4 linked regions of the Arabidopsis thaliana genome follow. The protein of the gene in region 3 interacts with the protein of the main gene of each other region in a pairwise test. Each region holds a gene or a part of one and is shown on either strand. Other genes may lie near its edges. The genes, in order: AT1G48870, AT1G33250, AT2G38510 and AAE3.

Region 1 (6,432 bases), on a different chromosome or scaffold from region 3:
CGATATGTTAGTTTGTTTGTTCCATACAACACTTTTTTCAAGCTTAAGACCCAAAATCGCAATCGCTTGAGGTTTCTTAAACCAAGTTCTTGTCTTCCACTTTCAGGCATATGTTAGCAAAGTTAAAAAGAGCCAACTTAAACTGGAATCCCATTGTTTCTCTAAATACAAAAGTCACCATAAAAACTTCTACTTCTCGTTTGAGGTAGGTGAAGATCAGGCAAACTAATGTTTACTTCTTGGTCTTCAGTAGTGTGTAGATATAGATATTCCACATAGATTTTATCAAGCAACAGAAGAAAATTTGTTTTTGTTGGATTTAATAATTTAGCAGAGGAATGGGAAAATGAAGAAAACGACTACAAGTCTGTCTACAACGAAGCTGCATCAATATAATCCTGTTTTCTCCATAATTTGTATATGTTTGCTATCTGTAAAAAGACCAAGATTTTACCCATTTTTCAAGAGGGCCCATTAAAAAAAGAATCATCTTTGAGCTTTGAAGCAAAACGGAGTCATTTTCTTGGAGATAAAATGAACTAGTATGGACTAAAATGAAGTAGGAGAGAGTCGCTCTAGCAGTTGCAGCATAATCTTATCTGACTAAATTGGCATTGAGCCATCGAGGAACTTGGAAGCGAAGGACTAGAAACTAGAAAATCTACATATATTTAGACACCAAAACAAAAACCAAACAAAAAATCAATTTTTGTTTTCTCCTATTTAAAACAAAAATAGATTATCGATCTCTAAAATGTACGTGGCAGTCCATAGTTATGGAATGTCCTAATCATCCCATCCAAGCTCACGGTCACGATCACCAGTCTCCACGCCTCGGCAAGATCAAACTCGCCGACGGGAAGGTTACTATCGTAACTTCCTACATTCATAAGGAGCTTCTCCTCCGGCCACGTGGCGGTAACACGACAGGAGCGAGACAATCTCCCAGAGCTCTGTATTTTTCTCATAACGCGCCGTGATTCTTCATCATCACCGGCTACTTTCGACACTTTTGTTTCCGGTTGAGTCCAAGCCGCCACCGCGGAAACCCCCGGCGAATGAAAATACTCGAAAGAACGCGACGATTTTGCGCCTTTCCTCGAAGGAAACGCATCGTTGTTCCAGAGATAAACTCCGACACCTCGTCTAACTGATAAAATATGTTTTCCGGTGGAAGAAACAAACGACGCCGACGATTGTCTCCCAAAATTCGATGGAGCTGAATTTTTTTATAAAAAAAATAATCAAAACACAGATTTCAAGAAGTGTAAAATCAAGATTCAAAGATTTTTTTTTATACCTTTGAATTTGTGAATCATTTGTGTTTTGTCAAATATTCGAACTTTCGAATCTTCAGAAGATACTAAAATTTTCTCGGAGCTTCCAGGACAAAACTCCACGGCGGTGATTCTATTCCTTCCCCGGATAAGAATCTGTTCATCCATTATCACATCGTTATCTAAGATTTGATAGAACCTACAGTTCCCAGTGATGCAACCAACAACAAACCCCTGAAGCAAAAACAGAGCAAAGTTGAGTTTTTTTAGAAAGGATGATCTTTTGAGTAGAGAATAGACAGAGAATGTCAAATTACATTTCCGTTTGGTTGGTAAGAGATTGCAGAAATGGAATCACGAACATCGGTCCAAGCGACAACTCTTTCTTCTGACAAACCCCAGATTCGAGCTTTTCCATCTATAGACCCACTTGCGAAGTTGTTCTTATTTACAGGATTGAATTCAACGCAAGTCACTGTATTTGAAAGACAAAAGCAACATGAGTGAGTTAACAAACGTTTTTGCAAAGATTTCAGAACAAACAACTTGAGATGCAAAAAATACTTACCGTAGTTGTTATGATGGAAGACATGAAGACATTGATCACAACCAGTTCTCCATAACCGAACTGTCTTGTCTTTAGAAGCTGAAAGAAGCAACTGCAAAGCCAAATCACCAAAGACAACAGATTTTATAAGTAATGAATCAACAAATCTCAAAAACAAGAAAAGAAAAACAAAGTAATAAACTCACATTTGAGTCTGACCATGCTAAGTCCAAGACATCTCCGGTATGACCATAAAGTTCTTGAAACGGTGTTTCTTCGATATGAAAAGCTTTCTGAGGAAACAGAACCAATGCTGCTTGTTGGTTTATTGGTTCTTGTTGTCGAAGAAAAGAGGCGAGTAGAGAATCCGATAGCGTGATTCGCCATATCTTTACAACTCCATCTTCGCCTCCGGTTGCTAAGTATTTACCATCAGGACTAAACTTTAATGTCCAAATTTTCCCTTTGTGTCCATTAATCTTTTGTACCATGTAAGCTGCAGATAACTCTACATGACTCTTCTTGTTAGTCTTCACTTTCACTTTGCTCATTGTCTCTTCACTTGATTTGTATTTGAAATCTTTATCCTTCACTCCTGCTGAAAAGCAATTGAACAACCATTTTTTCGCGCTTTTCTTGCTGGAACTCCGCGATGGACTGGTGGAAGCATTACTTGAGATTTCTTCTGAATCATCATCATCATCATCCACTCCTTCTAGTTCCTCATCAGAGATTGAAGTAGTTGATCCATAGTTCTCCTCTCTAACACAACACTGCAATCCACTATCACAGAGAGATGAATCTGAAGAAGAACTAGTAACCTCATCACTGTAATCGCTTACCATCCTCTCCAGACACCTCTCTTCTAATAAACCCATTTTCTTGAGAAACCGTACACGACGTTCCTCAACACTAATTGGCTCACCAGACCAAACTTGAAACTCTGCTTCTTCTACTTCTTCTTCTTCTACTACTACTTGTTCACCAATAGACAAAACATCAGATGAATCAAAGAACAAATCATCAACAACAACTTCACTTCTTCCCACACTCATCATTTCAATCACAACTTCCACCAAAAACTAAAAAGCTTCCTCCTTTTTCTTATATAAACCTTCTTCTTGTAGCCTCAACGCGGTTCACGGACCGTAAATCCCTCAAATGTTTAAAACCTAACAAAGAGTGCGAAAAACCAAATCTTCCATTAGTAAACAACAACAAAACTAACCCGACTCAATTCTCTGAACTTACATTAATCACAAAATATGAAAAACCCACACATCTCTTAAACTAATCGATTAAACAAAAAAAGACGGTTCCTGAAACTCAGGAAGTGAATAGAATAATCAAAAGTCTGGATAAAAGTTCGTACCTTTGTCTAGTTAAGAAGCAATGATCCACAACAAGAAGTCAAATTCTGATAGCCGACGAGGAATTAGGTCTCGGGTTTGATTTGATTTTTCTTCAAACCAAAGCAAGATTTGTTATTTCAAGTTTCTTCTCCGTGTGATTAAGGAAGATATAAAAACCAGACAAAACATTTACGTTATGTCTCAGAGAGAGAGTGGTTGGGTGCATCAATGGCGGCCCAATGAGAATCTCTGAGATCTTTTTGACGGCGAAGTGGCCGCGATTCAGGAGACAGGAGACAATTAAAACTTTCTTACTCCCGACCAATCTCTCAGACTCTCTTTTACTGTTGTCTTTTGTTTTCGTGCTTTTTGGGCTTATGTCTCTCTGCAACAACGGCGATTTAATATAAAATAAAAAAGAGTTTGGATCAGAATCATGTTTAGTGCTACGCAGAACTAACGAAAATACACGATTGTCGACAAAACCCAGATTAAGTAAATTACCCTTGAATTTCGAAAATTCTTTCTGACAATAGTTTTTCTTAGCTGCTTACACACAAACAATAGTGTTATTTTCTTGAATGCACTTTAATATTTTCTTAAAATACTTTTTTTAAAAATAATTGGCAAATTATTAACCTAAAGTTTTACCATTCATGATCATCTTTGGGTAAGGCAGTGAATTAATTGTGGTTGTGAAAATTTACCGTAGTGTAAAAAGACATTTCATTTTCACGGAAGATTCCTACCTTTATTTCTCCTGACATTGCTTTGTCTTATTTTAAACAAATGAGTAAATATGCTTTTCTACTTTTTCCATTTTGTAAGCTATGTATTCTAATTTCTAATTAAATGAATTTTCATAATTTATATATAGGTAAATTTTAATTTTGTCTACCAATATTTTCTTGTTTGAATAGAATTCCAAAAATACTATTTGTTTAAATCCTTCCACAGATTAGGGAGATTTTATTATGACCGAATCATCATATATCCAGAGACCATTAAAATTGCTACATTTGGGGCCAGAATTTATCCAGAATGTAACAAGACCGGAAAGGTTTAAATTTTAGATGTGACCAAAAAAAAAGTTTAAAATTTTAGTTTTGAACGTTTAAAAAACAGATTTTGTGGTTCGTTTGAAAGAGTATTTAGAACGAAAAAATACATAAATTAAAGCTATATTTATAAAGTTTTCATATTAAGTACGATGAATAAGAATAATAAGAAATGGTATTTTATATATATATATATATATAGTAGGTGATATTAAATATGCGGTCGTATTGTATCTCAACATCCAATAAGTTTTACCATACATTCACCAGTTAATTTTTGTTAACTACTTGTTGTAAGTTCATTTATATATTTCGCTATGTAATGGCAATGAGAAAATGGCAGTAGTTAATTTCTTGTGTCATAAGTGTATACAACAAAGAAGGTTCGTATTCAGACTTATTTACGTAGTTACATTTTGATAACAGCAATTTAATTAAGTTTAACCTGCTTCTTTAGAACGTATAAAAGTTAGAACTATAAAGCATCATTTTATACAATCATCTGTATATTGAAACGAAAAAAACAAGAATCTGAGTAACTATGCAAACTATAGTACAATATATGTGTAAGAACACGAACCAGTAATCTTGACTGCAGTTTTGGACTCGAACTAGCTTGATATGCAACTATGGCGGAATCTTCAAATTTTGAAGGTGAGAGATATAGAGAGAGAGATCTCATATAATATAATGTAGCATTAGTGGTCGACGATGTGTGCTTATATATATAGTTATTTGTATATTACTATAGTGTATATTATTTTATTTTTCTCAAAAATATTCATAAATGATAACGTGGATATACATTATAGTATATAATTACAAAAATTTTACAATAACCAAACAGATTATTCGATTGCATTTTAAAATTATTGAAACTTTGGTTTAAGAGAAAATGATATAATTATTGAAACTGATTATGACAACTATTTCTTCCCCAGCTTGTAGGACGCATAATCTTCTCTATTTTTTTTATTTTTATTTTTATTTTTTTAATCTTCTCTATTTATGTTCAGACATTAAGAATACACAAAATGTTATCTGCATAATACAAATCTACCAAATGATTCATTGGATGCAAATTATAAATTAATAAAAAGTTTATGAAGTAACATAATGCGACAACTCGCTACCTTTTTATTTTTGTGATTTGAGAACCATTGGATGATATTGTTCGAATCTCAAGAGATTTGATTGGTCAAAGTACGCACGTAATTTGGTAACCAATTAATAATTGATAAAAACAAAATCTGCAACTTGTTTTTGTTATACAGTACCAAACCTAACTCGTATCTTCGTCATGATAATGTGATTCATGCAAATAATTGAACCATGAAGCAAATGAGTATATTCAGTTATAAAAATAAAAAGCTGATTTATTAGTTTAGTACAGACTAATGGTGGATAACTCCTGAACGTGGAATGTTTCAAATTGGTGAACTTTTTCTTTTTGCTTAATTATTATTTTAAACTACGAAAAAGTGTATAAATGGGAGAGTGTTGACAACGTTATACATTTCATTCGTAAGTTGAGTACTCTACACGCATCGTCTCCAATTTCAAAGAGCTTATGTATTCTTGCTTCGTGTCTTTATGTGGTTGAGTTTGAATTCGTGATGGATATATATTCAATGATACGTGGTTGTATTCGGATTTGTCATGGAAATAACTAGCTAGTTTTATATTCAGTGATACGAAACTAGTTAGAAATAGTGGTTCATCGATGTACGTAGTAATGTGAGTTCATCTTTCCACGAAGCCTAAAATAGGCTCCTACTCATTAATACTATCTTGATGCCAAAAAAGGCACTACGACTAATTGTACCATAGATGACAAAAAAAAAGAAGAAGACTAATTGTACCATATAAGATAAACTAAAGTATTTAGGAGGAAAAAAACTATTAGCTACTGTCTCGAGTCCCATGCAATTGCTGGGTTTTGTTGACTTTTCCGTGGACCGGTCAATTCTGTATATACACCATAAGTCCATAGGTTTATCTCTAACAGTTTAAAACATAAAAACGAATTTACTTCTTTTTTTTTTGTTGAATTTACACAAACATATAAATATATTATAGACGAATAATCGAGTATTATAATTATTTAGACTAAAATTATTACTCATTTATACGAATTAGTTAGCAAAATATGTTATTTATTATATCCAAAAAATATATGTGATTTAACTTAGACAAAT
Region 2 (4,739 bases), on a different chromosome or scaffold from region 3:
TGTAAGGTGGTCTTGTCCTATGCCTTGAGTATTGTACATTTGTGTGTACATACACAAATTTCTCTTGAAATTGACCCCAATATACCCAACCACTCACCGACGCATTTTTCATGCTACATTTTAATTTAATGTGATATTAACAATTCAATGCTATGATTTCTCTAATTATATCATTCTTCACATACATTTCTCATCGTAATTTGTGCGGTCCTTTTTATGAGTTGCGAGAAATAAATTTATAAGACAACAACGAGTAGGTGAGCAGAGTTATTTTTCGGAAATACCGATGTATTGTTTAATGTGGGGAATTAACTCATTGAATTCTAAATCAAGAAGTAGAAAAAAAAAATCTGAAATTAACATGAGTAACTAGGTTTTTATATGTCATACCGTCATCGGCTAATAATATGTATATCATGTTACATTAGGTTGTTTGATAAATTTACTACCCCTAGTGATATAAACTCGATGAGTAGTCCGATTATAGAATTCAGCCAACCTTTATAATTTTGTATAGGGCTAAAACCATTCATTGAAGATCACAAACAATCGCTAGCTATAGCTATATCGTGGCAGAGGGAGATGAGGATGGGGAAACAAACACTCCATGTTGGTCACTAATTTGTAATACAATCTGTGTACAATAACAAATGATCATTACAATAAACGCAAAAATGTACTCGAACACGAGTTCTCATAAATAAACACAATAAAAATTATGCATCCAAACTTTATATTATTTTTCGTTTTTTTGTGATTTTTAAACATTTTTTCTATGTATAAAATTACATGCTAATTTATTGGTGTTTATTTACATGAACATTTGTGTTTATGTAAATCTTCTTCTACTTGTGCAAAATACATTATGTTTTTTAGTTACATTTATATCGATTAGAAAAATACCGACCGAGATAAGAAACATTTTTTAGATCAAACATCGTTTAAATAATGTATAAAAACGTGACGATGTAGAGACAAAGAGAAAGAGAAACAAGAAAGAAGAACAATACAAAAGAAGTAAATGAGAGAAAAATTGAGATTCTCATCTTCTTTTTTTTCTAATCAATTTGTAAGAATTTCAAAGTAGAGTTTAATAGAATCTCTTTACGGTGTTAAAACAGAGATCTACAATTGTATCATGTAAAAATAGAAACCTATAGAAAGCTTTGTATATTATTGTAGAGGCTATTTATACGTTGTTTTTACTAGAAGGAGAAAAAATCCTAAAGTAAGTTTTCAGTTCTGTAAAAATTGGTTTTTCTATTTGTTACTTATTCAGTTAAGTGAACATATATTTTATGTTTATTGATCTGTATCTATATTCTTGAAACAACATAACTTAAAGTTCAAAAAGTTATAAACAGATTTGACGGATTCTAATACCCTGAAATCGTAGGTTTTTATATGTTTTCATAATAAACGTTAGACTATCCTTATTGATGGTCTCTTAACATAACTCTTAGTTAAGAGATATATCTTATATCTAACAAAAGTGTTTTAAGAGACTTTTGTTAGTTATAAGCTATTATAAGACATGTCTCTTAACTTAATAATTGTTTTAAGAAACCATCAATAATGATACTAGAAGAATTTAGAAATAAAAGCGTTTCTTCGAAAAAAAGTAGTCATCTTTCAAAGTTAAATAAAAACAAAAAGGATAATAAAGATGGGATAACGAATCTGAATTCTGACATGACAGTGACGGTTGTTGGGCTTTCCGATAGTACAACCAAATGCCACCTGGGAACTGAAGTGTACATAAATTGGGGTCACCGGACTGTGATGTTTGAGAATCTTTTGTACCATACTGGGCCCATATTAGGCCCGATTACTACAAGCCTAAATTAGATCTAAGCCCATTCACCGAGGCAAAAACTTTTCTTACCAAAATCCGCCCCTAAATTTTGAAAAATCAAAATCAAACCCCTGAAAAGTCAAAGCGACGGCGAAAGGAAGAAGAAGAGAGAGAGAAAAAAACGAGACGACGGTGGCGATCGAAACCCTGTGCCCTAATTTAAACGGAAACTTGGTTCGCCGCCGTTCTGCGTCGCCCGGCGGCGGAAATGTGCGCTTGGGGCGATGCGTTTAATTCTCACCGTCATGTGCTCATTCATTCCTTACCTTTATTCATCTTCTCCTCACCGTCCTTGCTCTTCCCCAATCTCTCGTCCTCCTCCTCGAATCCGTCCTTGTCGTCTCAGTCGTTTCGCCACCGCATTAGTCGCTACCTCCGCTCTTCTTCTCGCTTCCGTCGCTTGGCTTTCTCTCGTCTTCTCACCAACCACTTCCCGTTGTTGGCATCTTCTTAAAGATTGGGAAGACAATCATCTCTGGAACAAACGGTACCATCATCCAATTGTAACTCCTCCTCCGCCGCCGCCGTCGCCGCCGTCTCTTCCAGCTCTTCCGTTATTCGATCATGAATTTAGAAATCGTAGTCTCTCAGAGATTGATAAACTTGATCTGTCTATGAATCACTTGATGTTTGGTATTGCTGGATCTTCACAGCTTTGGGAACGTCGTAAGGAACTTGTGAGATTATGGTGGAAACCTTCTCAGATGCGTGGACATGTCTGGCTTGAAGAGCAAGTTTCTCCTGAGGAAGGTGATGATTCTCTTCCTCCTATAATTGTCTCTGAAGACAGCTCTCGTTTTCGTTACACTAATCCTACTGGTCATCCTTCTGGACTTCGAATCTCTCGTATTGCTATGGAGTCTTTTCGTCTCTCTCTCCCTAATGTTCGGTGGTTTGTTCTTGGTGATGATGATACTATCTTCAATGTTCATAATCTTCTTGCTGTGTTAAGCAAGTATGATCCTTCGGAGATGGTTTATATTGGAAACCCCTCGGAGAGCCACTCTGCTAACTCTTACTTTAGTCATAACATGGCTTTTGGAGGCGGTGGCATTGCCATTAGCTACCCTTTAGCGGAAGCTCTCTCCCGGATTCACGACGATTGTCTCGATAGATACCCGAAGCTATACGGTAGTGATGATCGTCTCCACGCCTGCATCACTGAACTCGGAGTTCCTTTGTCCAGAGAGCCTGGCTTTCACCAGGTATGTTTCATCATCTCTGCTTCTATGATCTCTTGGATCTTCAATCTGATGATAATGCTAATGTTAGGTTTTTGTGACAGTGGGATATTAAGGGAAATGCTCATGGTCTCTTGTCCTCTCATCCTATTGCACCATTTGTCTCAATTCATCACGTTGAAGCTGTTAATCCTCTCTATCCGGGATTATCTACATTAGATAGTTTGAAACTCTTGACAAGAGCTATGAGTTTGGATCCTAGGAGTGTTTTGCAGCGATCGATCTGCTATGATCATACTCACAAACTGACATTTGCGATATCTCTTGGTTATGTTGTACAAGTTTTCCCAAGTATTCTCCTACCACGGGATCTTGAGCGAGCTGAACTTTCTTTCTCTGCTTGGAACGGGATAAGTCAACCCAGTGAGTTTGATCTTGACATAAAGCTTCCAATTTCGTCTCTCTGTAAGAAGCCTATCCTCTTCTTCTTGAAAGAGGTTGGCCAAGAAGGTAATGCTACACTTGGAACGTACTCAAGATCCTTGGTAAAGGATGATTTGAAGACGAAGCTTCTATGTTTTCCACGCTCTCTACCTCTGCACAAAGTGGATAAAATCCAGGTCTCAGGGTTTCCTCTGAGTAAAAATTGGCACTTGGTGAGGTTTTCTTGTTTATCTTTTTATCACCTAATGTTTCTGTCATTTTCTTTATGATTTTGCTAATTGATGATTCTCCACTCTTCTTAACGACAGGCGCCGAGACGGTTGTGTTGCAGAGCAACCCCAACTACTACTAACGAGCCTCTCAGATTAACAGTTGGGCAGTGTGGTAAGATAATTTTGGGTTCCACGATTAGTTCTCAATGAACACTTATGGTGAATACTGGATCTCTCTAAGCATGTTGTTTCAGCTCTATCCTGTACTTGTACATAGGTAAGATCCAGAACCTTGACTGTTGTCTGACCTAGAATGCTAATATGCCCAAAATTGAATTTGTCACTCTTTTGTTTGTTCCATGTTCCACTTTCTTTTTTTGTACATCTGAGATTTCACGAACTCAACATTTCCTGTTGAGAAACGAGTGTAATGTGTACAACAACAAATCTTTACCAGTGAAACCTATCCATCTGTGTGTTAAGTAAGAATGGTTTTGTTTTGTTTTTTCCATATCTACTACATTGGCAATCTTGATATAGCCACATAAATATTTGTGGGTTAAATATATTAAAGAAGAATATATCCACTAGTAGAGGGTGAGGTAAGTGGTCCATAGGATTGTGGATTTAGTGCGGATTTAAGGAAAGGTCTTTGGTTGGATAGATTTTTAAGATGTGTGTGTGTGTTCTAAAACTAAGGGTTTAAAATCAAGAGTGTTGTGGTGTGAGTTGACTTGTCATGAACTCTCTGACACACTGGCAAAGTGAGCCCAGGTTTTGCTAGTTGTTTTGTCGTAAGCCTTGAAATTGACATTATGATGCATCATGGCTTCTATTTAAAGGGGGTCATATAGTTAATGCAATGATCAAAATAGCCCCGAGTTAGATTTTTGGTGAGTTAGTAGTGTAAGTAAATTCTTTGGATTTTGACTTTGTGAGGTATTTATTTATTTGGCTGCCACTGAAATTGTAGATATATTTGTGAGAGGAGGAATATGGATTTTACGTGGGTGTGAAAATTCATGGAATTACAAAAAAAAATATCGC
Region 3 (3,816 bases):
GTGAATCTGGAGAGATTATAAATGGAGAATGCGATGTTTCAACATCCGTCAAAGGAGAAAATAGCGGCAGCGCCAAATTCTCTGCTGGTCTCCGTCGCATCCCTTTCAATGAGGCTTGTTTCTTTTTCTTTAATTTCTCTTTTCTTGTTCTTACATTTTCTTCAACAAAAAAATTCCAATTAGCTTTGACAAGTCATCACTCTGCTTATTCTTTGATTTCATAGTTTTCTTGTGTTTTTGTTTGTACTACTAGTTTTCGTGATCAGGACCATCCTAATATAGAGACGTTTGCTACGTTTAACCAGAGAATTTGGTGATTTTTGATGGATTATTATATTGTTTTCAGTCACTTTCGCAGTATTTTTTGGGTCTGGTAAATAATATGTAGTTCTTGGAAATTGATCTTATACTGGATTGAATGCTTCTTTTGACTGTTTTTATAGCATTTTAACCGAATATAATGCATCCCTTTTAAAAACATAGCATGAATAATGCTTCATCTATCTTTCACGTACTTGAGAAATACAATGTTGAAAATTCATTTATATATAAGTTTTCTCTGTATATATATATATATATATATATGTGTATATATGTTCATATTTATGCCTAAAGCGTTACTACTTACTACTAGTATGATAAATCCTCACTTTCATGGACTGAAAGAGATGCTTTTTGTGTTGTACTTACTTTATATTTCTTGACAGTTGGGTTGTACTTACTTAGGAAAGTGTTCTATATAGGTTTCCTCTCACTCTATTCTTTTTATCAGTTTCTTTACTTAGTACAAATATAATCTAGTTACTTTCCGATTTATTTTCTTGAAATCCTTATCCGATTGTTTATGAAATGTCAATAGTAGTTCATGATACTTTTACAAGTATCTATGCGTAAAATATTTTTTATATGTTTTTAAAATGTGGATATTCTTAATGAAGATATCATGAAATGAAAGGTAATATCTAAGCTGATTTTGTTTTTTCAAAAAGAAAACAAAAAAGGTGAGCTTTTAAAAACCCATGATGATTTTTATTTAAAAAGATCCTAGAATGTTGGTACAGTTAGCCATTCGCTTTTCTGGCACTTGTGAATTTGATTATATATTCAGTTCTAAAAGTTATAGAGTTTAAACCTTTTTCTCTTCCTTTTTCAACTTTCTCATCCCAGTCCCAGTGGCCATGTGATGCGACCATCTTCCTCGTGCTTACAAATTGTTCTTAATTTTATAATATGATAAAATATCATTTTCCGTATTGTAATGTAATGTCCTTCTGTTTCACAATAAAATTAATTTAAGATTTTATTTGACAAAAAGAAACAATTAAGGTACAATGATTTTTTTAATAACTCATGTATAAAAAGCTCATATAAATACCATTTTCATACAACTTATTAGAAAAGAAATTTGTTTGTTTATTGTGATAAAAATATTAATAAATGATATACCAGAAAATTTAATATTTTTAGTGAGTGCAATATCGTTAATTAAACGAAATTAAATCACGTACAAAATATTAAACATGATTAAAAAAGGATATTAAAGACTAAATCATATTTTGAGGATAATTTTTTTTTTTTTAATATACAACATACTCGTGTTGCGCTCTTTCTATACACTAATATCTTCTCGAGTGCGTTTTGCTAGAACTAGAAGCCTATAGAACATGTGAAAAAATAAAGAGTTGTTCAATTGAAAAACCTAACAAAAATAACATAATTTTTTAATTTTATTTTTCCCATGCAGGTGGGAGAGGAGATGGCGTCACTCACAAAAATAGCTTGCCCGATTGTGATGACATCACTCCTCATATTCTCAAGATCAATAATCTCAATGTGGTTCTTGAGTCATCTCGGAAAAGTCGAACTCGCTGGTGGTGCACTCGCTATGGGCTTTGGAAACATCACTGGAGTCTCCGTACTTAAAGGCCTTTCCGTTGGTATGGACCCAATCTGTGGCCAAGCCTTCGGAGCCAAACGTTGGACCGTACTTAGCCACACGTTTCAGAAAATGTTCTGTCTCTTAATTGTCGTCTCTGTTCCAATCGCCGTTACGTGGCTCAACATCGAACCCATTTTCCTACGGTTGGGTCAGGACCCAGATATTACCAAGGTAGCCAAAACCTATATGCTCTTCTTCGTCCCTGAGCTCTTGGCTCAGGCCATGCTCCATCCGCTTCGAACGTTCCTTAGAACGCAAGGCTTAACATCACCGCTCACGATATCTGCCATTGTATCCATTCTTCTTCATCCTCTCTTCAACTACGTCTTTGTCGTGCGTATGCGTTTAGGCGTTAAGGGTGTGGCCATCGCAATGGCTTTCAACACTATGAATATCGACGTGGGACTGCTCGTTTATACGTGCTTCTCGGATTCTCTAATCAAACCGTGGGAAGGGCTCGCTTTGCGGTCACTTTTCCGCGGCTGGTGGCCGCTGCTTTCTCTAGCCGCACCAAGCGCTATCTCGGTGTGTTTGGAGTATTGGTGGTATGAGATCATGCTTTTTCTTTGTGGGCTTCTTGGGAACCCTAAAGCAAGCGTGGCCGCCATGGGAATATTGATTCAGACCACCGGGATACTATACGTAGTCCCGTTTGCTATTAGCAGCGCCATTGCAACCCGTGTAGGTCACGCTCTTGGAGGCGGCCAACCAACACGGGCACAATGTACGACCGTGATTGGCTTGATACTCGCGGTAGCGTACGGTTTAGCAGCTGCTGTTTTTGTGACCGCGCTTAGGTCGGTTTGGGGAAAGATGTTCACGGACGAACCGGAGATTCTCGGGCTTATTTCGGCTGCGCTTCCGATCTTGGGGCTTTGCGAGATTGGAAACTCGCCACAGACGGCTGCTTGCGGAGTCTTGACTGGGACGGCTAGGCCTAAAGATGGAGCACGCGTTAACCTATGCGCATTCTACATTGTGGGCTTGCCTGTGGCAGTTACGACCACGTTTGGGTTTAAGGTTGGGTTTCGTGGGCTATGGTTTGGACTGTTATCTGCGCAGATGACGTGTTTGGTAATGATGCTTTATACGTTAATCCGTACGGACTGGTCTCATCAAGTGAAGCGGGCAGAGGAACTTACCTCCGCTGCAGCCGACAAAAGCCATTCGGAAGACGAAACCGTCCATGCTGAAGTACAAGACGATGATGATGTGAGTAGCAATGATCTGGAGATTGGTTTACTACAAAATACGAATTGACTAGTTTAGCTAGAAATGTTAAAATTATCAATCGACAATTTTTAACGGATTGTTAATGATATAGGAAACTTTTTTTTTTTGGCAAACTAAAAATACCGAAGATAGATTTGTGTCCGAACTGTTAACTAAGATTTTGTGAAAAGACTCAGCCATTTAATTGGTTGAGCTTAGCTTTTTCTAACACGCAGAAGTATGTAGTGAGAACAGTTGTGACGAATCTATCAAGGATCAATCAAGATCAATCACAATTCTACTTATGTAAACTATATATTCTGTAATTAGAAGTCTCTAGAACATCTAGTCTGTATATAAACAATGTAAATCATCTCAATACAAATCATCCAATTCTATATTCTTTATATGGTATCAGAGCATCATCGATACCTAAAAATAAAAAACCTAAAAACAGCCGCCTCTCTCCTTTCTTTCTTCTTCTCCCCCGTTGATTTTTTTATTCCTCTGTTTTTCAAACTTCAACCATGTCGAATGTTTCTTCTGAAACCGTCAACCTCAACAACACCTCCATTGTTCACATGAACATGTCGAATGTGACAAAACTTACGGCCTCCAATTACATAATGTGGAGCCGCCAAGTCCACGCTCTCCTTCACGGCTAC
Region 4 (5,348 bases), on a different chromosome or scaffold from region 3:
GTTTATGATGGAATCACTCGTAAAACGCCCAGCTGAGACAGGTCCCTGCGCCATGCCGCCTCCGTATGATCCGGCATCATTTTATTCAGTTTTGAAAAGGAGACAGAGTACGACTAGTAGAATCGAACAGTGGGAGAGTAAGTACTGGAGGAAGCAGAACAAGACCGGTTCGTAAAATTAGATTGGCGTATAAAGTTTTGGTGTGTAGAGTAAAAGCACTTGTCAGAATTGTATCGAGTAGTATAAATTAGAAAACATGCGATCTTTATTTTCTTCTCCGTTTTTTTGGTAGAATTTTAACTAATCCATTCTGTCTAGTGAATTCGACGATACAAAGTTTTAATCGGTAATAAAAGTAAATAAGTTTTGTACGGTTTGATCTTATATCTCTATGACTATGCCTGAATCTAGGAAAATCCTTATGGTAAATGTTTTATCCTCGTATTGAGTTCTATATTGAAATCACAAAGTTAACTTTTTTTTTTTTTTTCTTCTATCACAAAAGTTAACTTTAAAATTCAAATTTGGAGCTCAAGTTCAGAATTAGTTAGCTATAACATGGAATGGAACATAATTTGGGACATAGTGAAAGTCTACCTGTCCCACTAAACGGTCGGTTTGTTCAACGAACCAAACGCTTTAAAAAGTGACAATGTAATATTTGTCCTTTGGCTTTACCCGTTTTGGCAGTACGCTTTTAGTTGTCAAATTGGCCATTAGATCAAGAGCATCAGTAACAAAAAGACGCAGAGACAACACCAACAAAAAGAAACTCTCCTTTATTGTTGTACTTCAATAATCACTTATCGACTTTTATTTCCACTTTTGTGATTTAATCTATAACCTTTACCACCATGAAACATATAAAAAGTAACTTTTAAACCAAGAACCAATAATAGAGAACGCATATCCATTTGCGTGAAAAGTGAAAACTAGGACTCATCACCGATGATTTTCGAGCAAGATGGTGTTTTCTGTGTGTTTCAGGGCTTCTCAAGGAAATGTTGTGCGACGATACGGCGCTGAATCTTACCAGAGGCAGTTTTGGGGAGGTTATCAGTGATGAACACTCTCTTTGGCACCTTGAAAGCTGCCAAATTCTTCTTACAAAACGCTTTAATGTCCTCTTCGGTTACAGTAGTTCCTTCTCTTGGAATCACCGCACAGTTAATCTGATAAACCAATAAACCAGGGAAACACAGCGTTATTAACAGCTCATTGATAAGTAAGTTCACATGATGTTTGATGATTCTGCAGGACATAATGGTAGATAAGGGAGACCAATTCATAAATTCAAATTAGAGACAATTTAAGCACAGGTTTTGTTTACCTCTTCCCCATATTTCTCATCAGGAACACCGAATGCAACACCCTGAGAAACGTCAGGATGCGTTAAGAGTACTGCATCCACTTCAATTGGAGATATCTTCTCACCTGAAATAGATTATAATTAAGTACACATAGAAAATCTAACTCATTCATACAAAAGATCATGATACTGCACAAAGTAGCCTCTTTCTTTGTCTTGTCTCATTTCTAATTTGTTGGAGGGTTTTCTTTGACAAGTCTAACATAGTACTGCACAAAGTAGCCTCCACCGAGACTATACAAATAAACTGCTAGACATAGACTAGTATTCTTGTGAAACAGTAAAGCCATCAAAATAGAGTAAATGAGACTAACCTCCACGGTTAATAAGCTCTTTGATCCGACCCACCAGATGCAAATACCCATCGGTATCAAAGTAACCGATATCACCAGTGTGGAACCACCCAAACTCGAAACCTGCCTTGTTGGCTTCTGGGTTATTCTTGTAACCCTTGGTCACATTTGGACCTCTTATACAAACCTCTCCTTTGTTATTTGGCTCTTGGATCTCGCCTTTCTCATTAAGGATCGCCATTTCTTGACCTACCGGTTTCCCAACAGACCCAGGCTTGTGTGGACCTTCCTCTGGTAAGGGGTTTGAGCTCATCAAATGTGTTGCCTCTGTCATTGCATAGGCCTCGAGCACCGGTGCTCCAAACGCTTCCTCAAGCCTGGACAATATCACCTAACAAAAACCAAGACAAAATAAGTCATTAAGTTATTGAAAGCCAAAGCAATCCAACGTTTTACAAAACACTGTGCATTACAAACGCCTCAACAATTGACTGGAAACAAGAGCATTACCGGAGCCAAAGAAGCACTGCAACTCCTGATGAACCGGAGTTTAGGATATTCCGTCTCAGGGTGGCTCGCGTGGCGGTCCAATATGATCTGATGAATGGTCGGCACAGCAGTATACCATGTAGCGTTATACTTCTTCATATCTGGCCAAAATGTTGTTGCTGAGAATCTACCAGCAGCTGGAAGAGTTACAGCAGCACCAGCTCCAAGCGAGCTAAGCAACCCAGCTAACAATCCATGAACATGGAACAGAGGGAGAACAATCACCGTAGAATCAGACTCAGTAAGCTTGTACACAGCTTTAATGTTCTTGACGGATGAAGCTAGATTGAGCTGCGTAAGCGGTACACCCTTTGGACGGCTCGTAGTGCCAGAAGTGTGGAGGAAGAGAGCACCGTCGTCCGGGTGATTAACGAGTTCCGTCGCTGAGTCAACGACGGAATCTGAATCCGCAACGGATAGTACAAGGTCCGAGCCAGCGTCAAGCAGCGTAGCGGTGACGTGAGAGATTTTCAGCTTTGAAGCTGCTTCTTGAGCCGGTGCGTTTCCTTCTTTAGAGGTTAACAATAGCTTTGAATCTGAATCGGAGAGGTAAAACTCAAATTCCTCCGCCGTGTACGCTGCGTTCAACGGCGCCGCCGTGGCTCTAGCTCTTATCACCGCTAAAAACATTATAACAAACTGAAAACAAAAAAAAAAAATCAAAACCAAATTCATCCAAAAAAATCATCTGAATCCGGAAATCAAAATTTCTCAATTAAGAAGCGATTTACAGATATTCATAAATTCTGCTTCCCATGTGATTCTTCAGCACGCAAAACAAAACCAGAAACGAAGCTTTTAAATCGAAATATATGAAAACCTCTTAAAATACCTCGACGGTGTTAGGGAAGGTGAGAGCAACGACATCGCCGGGTTTGATTCCAGCGTCGGAGACAAGGCGTGAAGCGGCGCGTTCGATTAGATCGTGAAGACGCGCGTGAGTGAGATTGAATTTTCCAGAAACGGAGAGAGCTCGGCGATCGGGGAATTTTTTGGCGACGTTTTCCAATAATCCTGAGAGAGTATCGCTATCCATGGTTACGTCGGAGAGATAAACACGAGAGTAACGATGATGAGGAAGGAGAGAATGTGAAAGCAGAGAAGAGAGCAAATGCGATATTTATAAATTTATATTCAATTACTACAGTATCTGTGGAAGCAAAAAATGGCTAAAAGATGATGCCACGTGTTATCATCGTAGCGGATTTTCTATTGATCGTGTGGTCATAATGTTTTCATTTTTAATTATTTTGTTAACGGTGGGAGTCGCTGATATATATCCTTACGATTAGACCGACGTTTCGGTTTTTGAAGAGGTGGTTTTTTTAATTTCGATTCCGGTACAAACACTGAACCGAAACGGCTAGTTAATTAACTTTTGAAAATATTTTTTTTCGGCAAGCATGCGATAGTAATTTACGGTTTATGAATTATTTCATAGGAATTTGAAATAGTTTGTGTATGTATTATCAAACAAAAGAATAGTTTCATTAAAAAAATAGCCTATGAGTGTTTAATCACTTTTAGGGCCTTTGCACATGTGTCTTTGACTAGGATTATCACGTTTCGAAGATGCTTGACGTTGTTTATACTTTATATTATAAATAGAAGATAACGTCCTTATTTTGATTGTTAATAAATTAAATTGACCAAGGTAAAAATGTAAAATTAAAATAAGAAATGGTAAAAATGACTTTGAATGATAAGAATAAATATATTATTTATAGAAAAAAAGTAGAAGACTAAATATAATGAGACATATATCTTTTTGAAGTAATCAATTTTGTTTTGTCTATACATACAAATTATTATATTATTTTATTTGGTTTGATACATGCACACTATCTAACTAAACAATAGTGGATTTGGATAATTATTCAACAATGAAACTAATTTAAACCACTAAACATGCGTAGCTTAGAAGAGAGTCAGAGTAGAATTTACTAATCAAAGATTTAGTTTACCTTGTTATTTGTTAAAGATTAAAATTATGTATATGATTATGAATAGAAATACAAAAATCTCGTATAGATGAAAACGACAGTGTTTTAAAATATAAGTCATATTCATGAAGCTGAAAAAGTCATTTTCCATTCTCCTAACTAAGTAAAAACATGGTCTTCATGTAAGCCGTCACATACAAATACAATAGAAGAATTTGGTTTGTGTTTGTTCTTCTTAAGTAGAGCATTGTCATCTGGCCCAATCATTGAAAATTCTCAAGTACATTTCGTTCCATCACTAATTTTTTTTCTTGGGTCAAACCATACATTCAATTTATTAGGGCCTGATAGGCCCAAACTTCTCTAGGCCAACAATTAATAACCTACAATTAGGGATGTTAAAATGGGCTAAATATTTAAGGCCGGCCCGAGTCCTTATAAAAAACAAAAGCCCTAGCCCTGGGTTGGTGTTTTCTTATACTTATATTGGTGGGTTCATGTTAGATTATCGAAATTTTGGATTCGAACGTGTGGATCGCTGGAAAAATTAAACTTTAGGGTCGCTAGATTACGATTGCTTCGCTTTTTAGTAGTAGTAGGCTACAATCGATTGGCAAACATCTCTATATCGGCCATAACTCCGTCAAGCTCTGCAGAGGCTGCTTCATCAGTATTGAGAGACTTCCTGGTGATTGATTCTCATGTCTATGTCTGAGTTTGGCATTGTCTACGCCATCCATATCATCACCGTCCAATTCGGCTCCGTCGTCTCGGTAAATTGAGAAACCCTTCTGAGACTTGTGTTGAATTTATAATCTCTGTATAACGAATTTGGTTTTGGTTGCAGAAAGTTTGTGAATGTCTTCTACGTAAAGGACCTCTTTCCTCACGAGACATCTCTCGTTTAGCTGAATCAGATATCAACCATAACAAAGTTAAAGATATTCTCTATCTCTTGATTCAGCACAATTGTGTTCAAGCTTTCTCCATTGAACCTCCTGGTTAGTCTCTATATTGTTTGATTAGTAGCAACACACAGAAATAGAGAACTCAATGAAAGTAATTTTGTATGTTTTTTTTTTTTACTTTGTAGATGGTTCTGAGAGCAAAGCTATTGTACAGTATATTGTGTTGTTTAACAACATTCTGCATCGTGTGAGGTATAACAAGTTTTCGAGGATTGTAAACGAAGAA

The links.
Region 1: the proteins of AT2G38510 (region 3) and AT1G48870 interact in a protein complementation assay, tested with the Arabidopsis thaliana proteins (one large-scale study listed by BioGRID).
Region 2: the proteins of AT2G38510 (region 3) and AT1G33250 interact in a protein complementation assay, tested with the Arabidopsis thaliana proteins (one large-scale study listed by BioGRID).
Region 4: the proteins of AT2G38510 (region 3) and AAE3 interact in a protein complementation assay, tested with the Arabidopsis thaliana proteins (one large-scale study listed by BioGRID).

What each region holds. Positions count from the first base shown.
Region 1 is NC_003070.9:18,071,576-18,078,007, forward strand, and holds AT1G48870 (Transducin/WD40 repeat-like superfamily protein), read right to left. Parts: upstream 4,831-6,432; 5' UTR 4,815-4,830; intron 3,678-4,814; exon of another isoform or gene 3,562-3,677; 5' UTR 3,197-3,561; intron 2,997-3,196; 5' UTR 2,883-2,996; coding exon 2,031-2,882; intron 1,937-2,030; coding exon 1,846-1,936; intron 1,753-1,845; coding exon 1,595-1,752; intron 1,512-1,594; coding exon 1,301-1,511; intron 1,220-1,300; coding exon 750-1,219; 3' UTR 548-749; downstream 1-547.
Region 2 is NC_003070.9:12,056,687-12,061,425, reverse strand, and holds AT1G33250 (beta-1,3-n-acetylglucosaminyltransferase radical fringe protein, putative (DUF604)), read left to right. Parts: upstream 1-1,633; 5' UTR 1,634-2,079; coding exon 2,080-3,060; intron 3,061-3,140; coding exon 3,141-3,692; intron 3,693-3,788; coding exon 3,789-3,902; 3' UTR 3,903-4,228; downstream 4,229-4,739.
Region 3 is NC_003071.7:16,122,247-16,126,062, forward strand, and holds AT2G38510 (MATE efflux family protein), read left to right. Parts: upstream 1-1,738; coding exon 1,739-3,199; 3' UTR 3,200-3,289; downstream 3,290-3,816.
Region 4 is NC_003074.8:18,158,048-18,163,395, forward strand, and holds AAE3 (AMP-dependent synthetase and ligase family protein), read right to left. Parts: upstream 3,440-5,348; 5' UTR 3,248-3,439; coding exon 3,044-3,247; intron 2,851-3,043; coding exon 2,173-2,850; intron 2,054-2,172; coding exon 1,684-2,053; intron 1,435-1,683; coding exon 1,331-1,434; intron 1,173-1,330; coding exon 984-1,172; 3' UTR 518-983; downstream 1-517. Other genes in the region: AT3G48980 (O-glucosyltransferase rumi-like protein (DUF821)), read left to right, coding at 1-175; AT3G49000 (RNA polymerase III subunit RPC82 family protein), read left to right, coding at 4,856-4,927, 5,002-5,155, 5,248-5,348. UniProt on the Arabidopsis thaliana protein: Oxalyl-CoA synthetase acting exclusively against oxalate. Follows a two-step reaction mechanism, wherein oxalate first undergoes adenylation by ATP, followed by a thioesterification in the presence of CoA to yield oxalyl-CoA.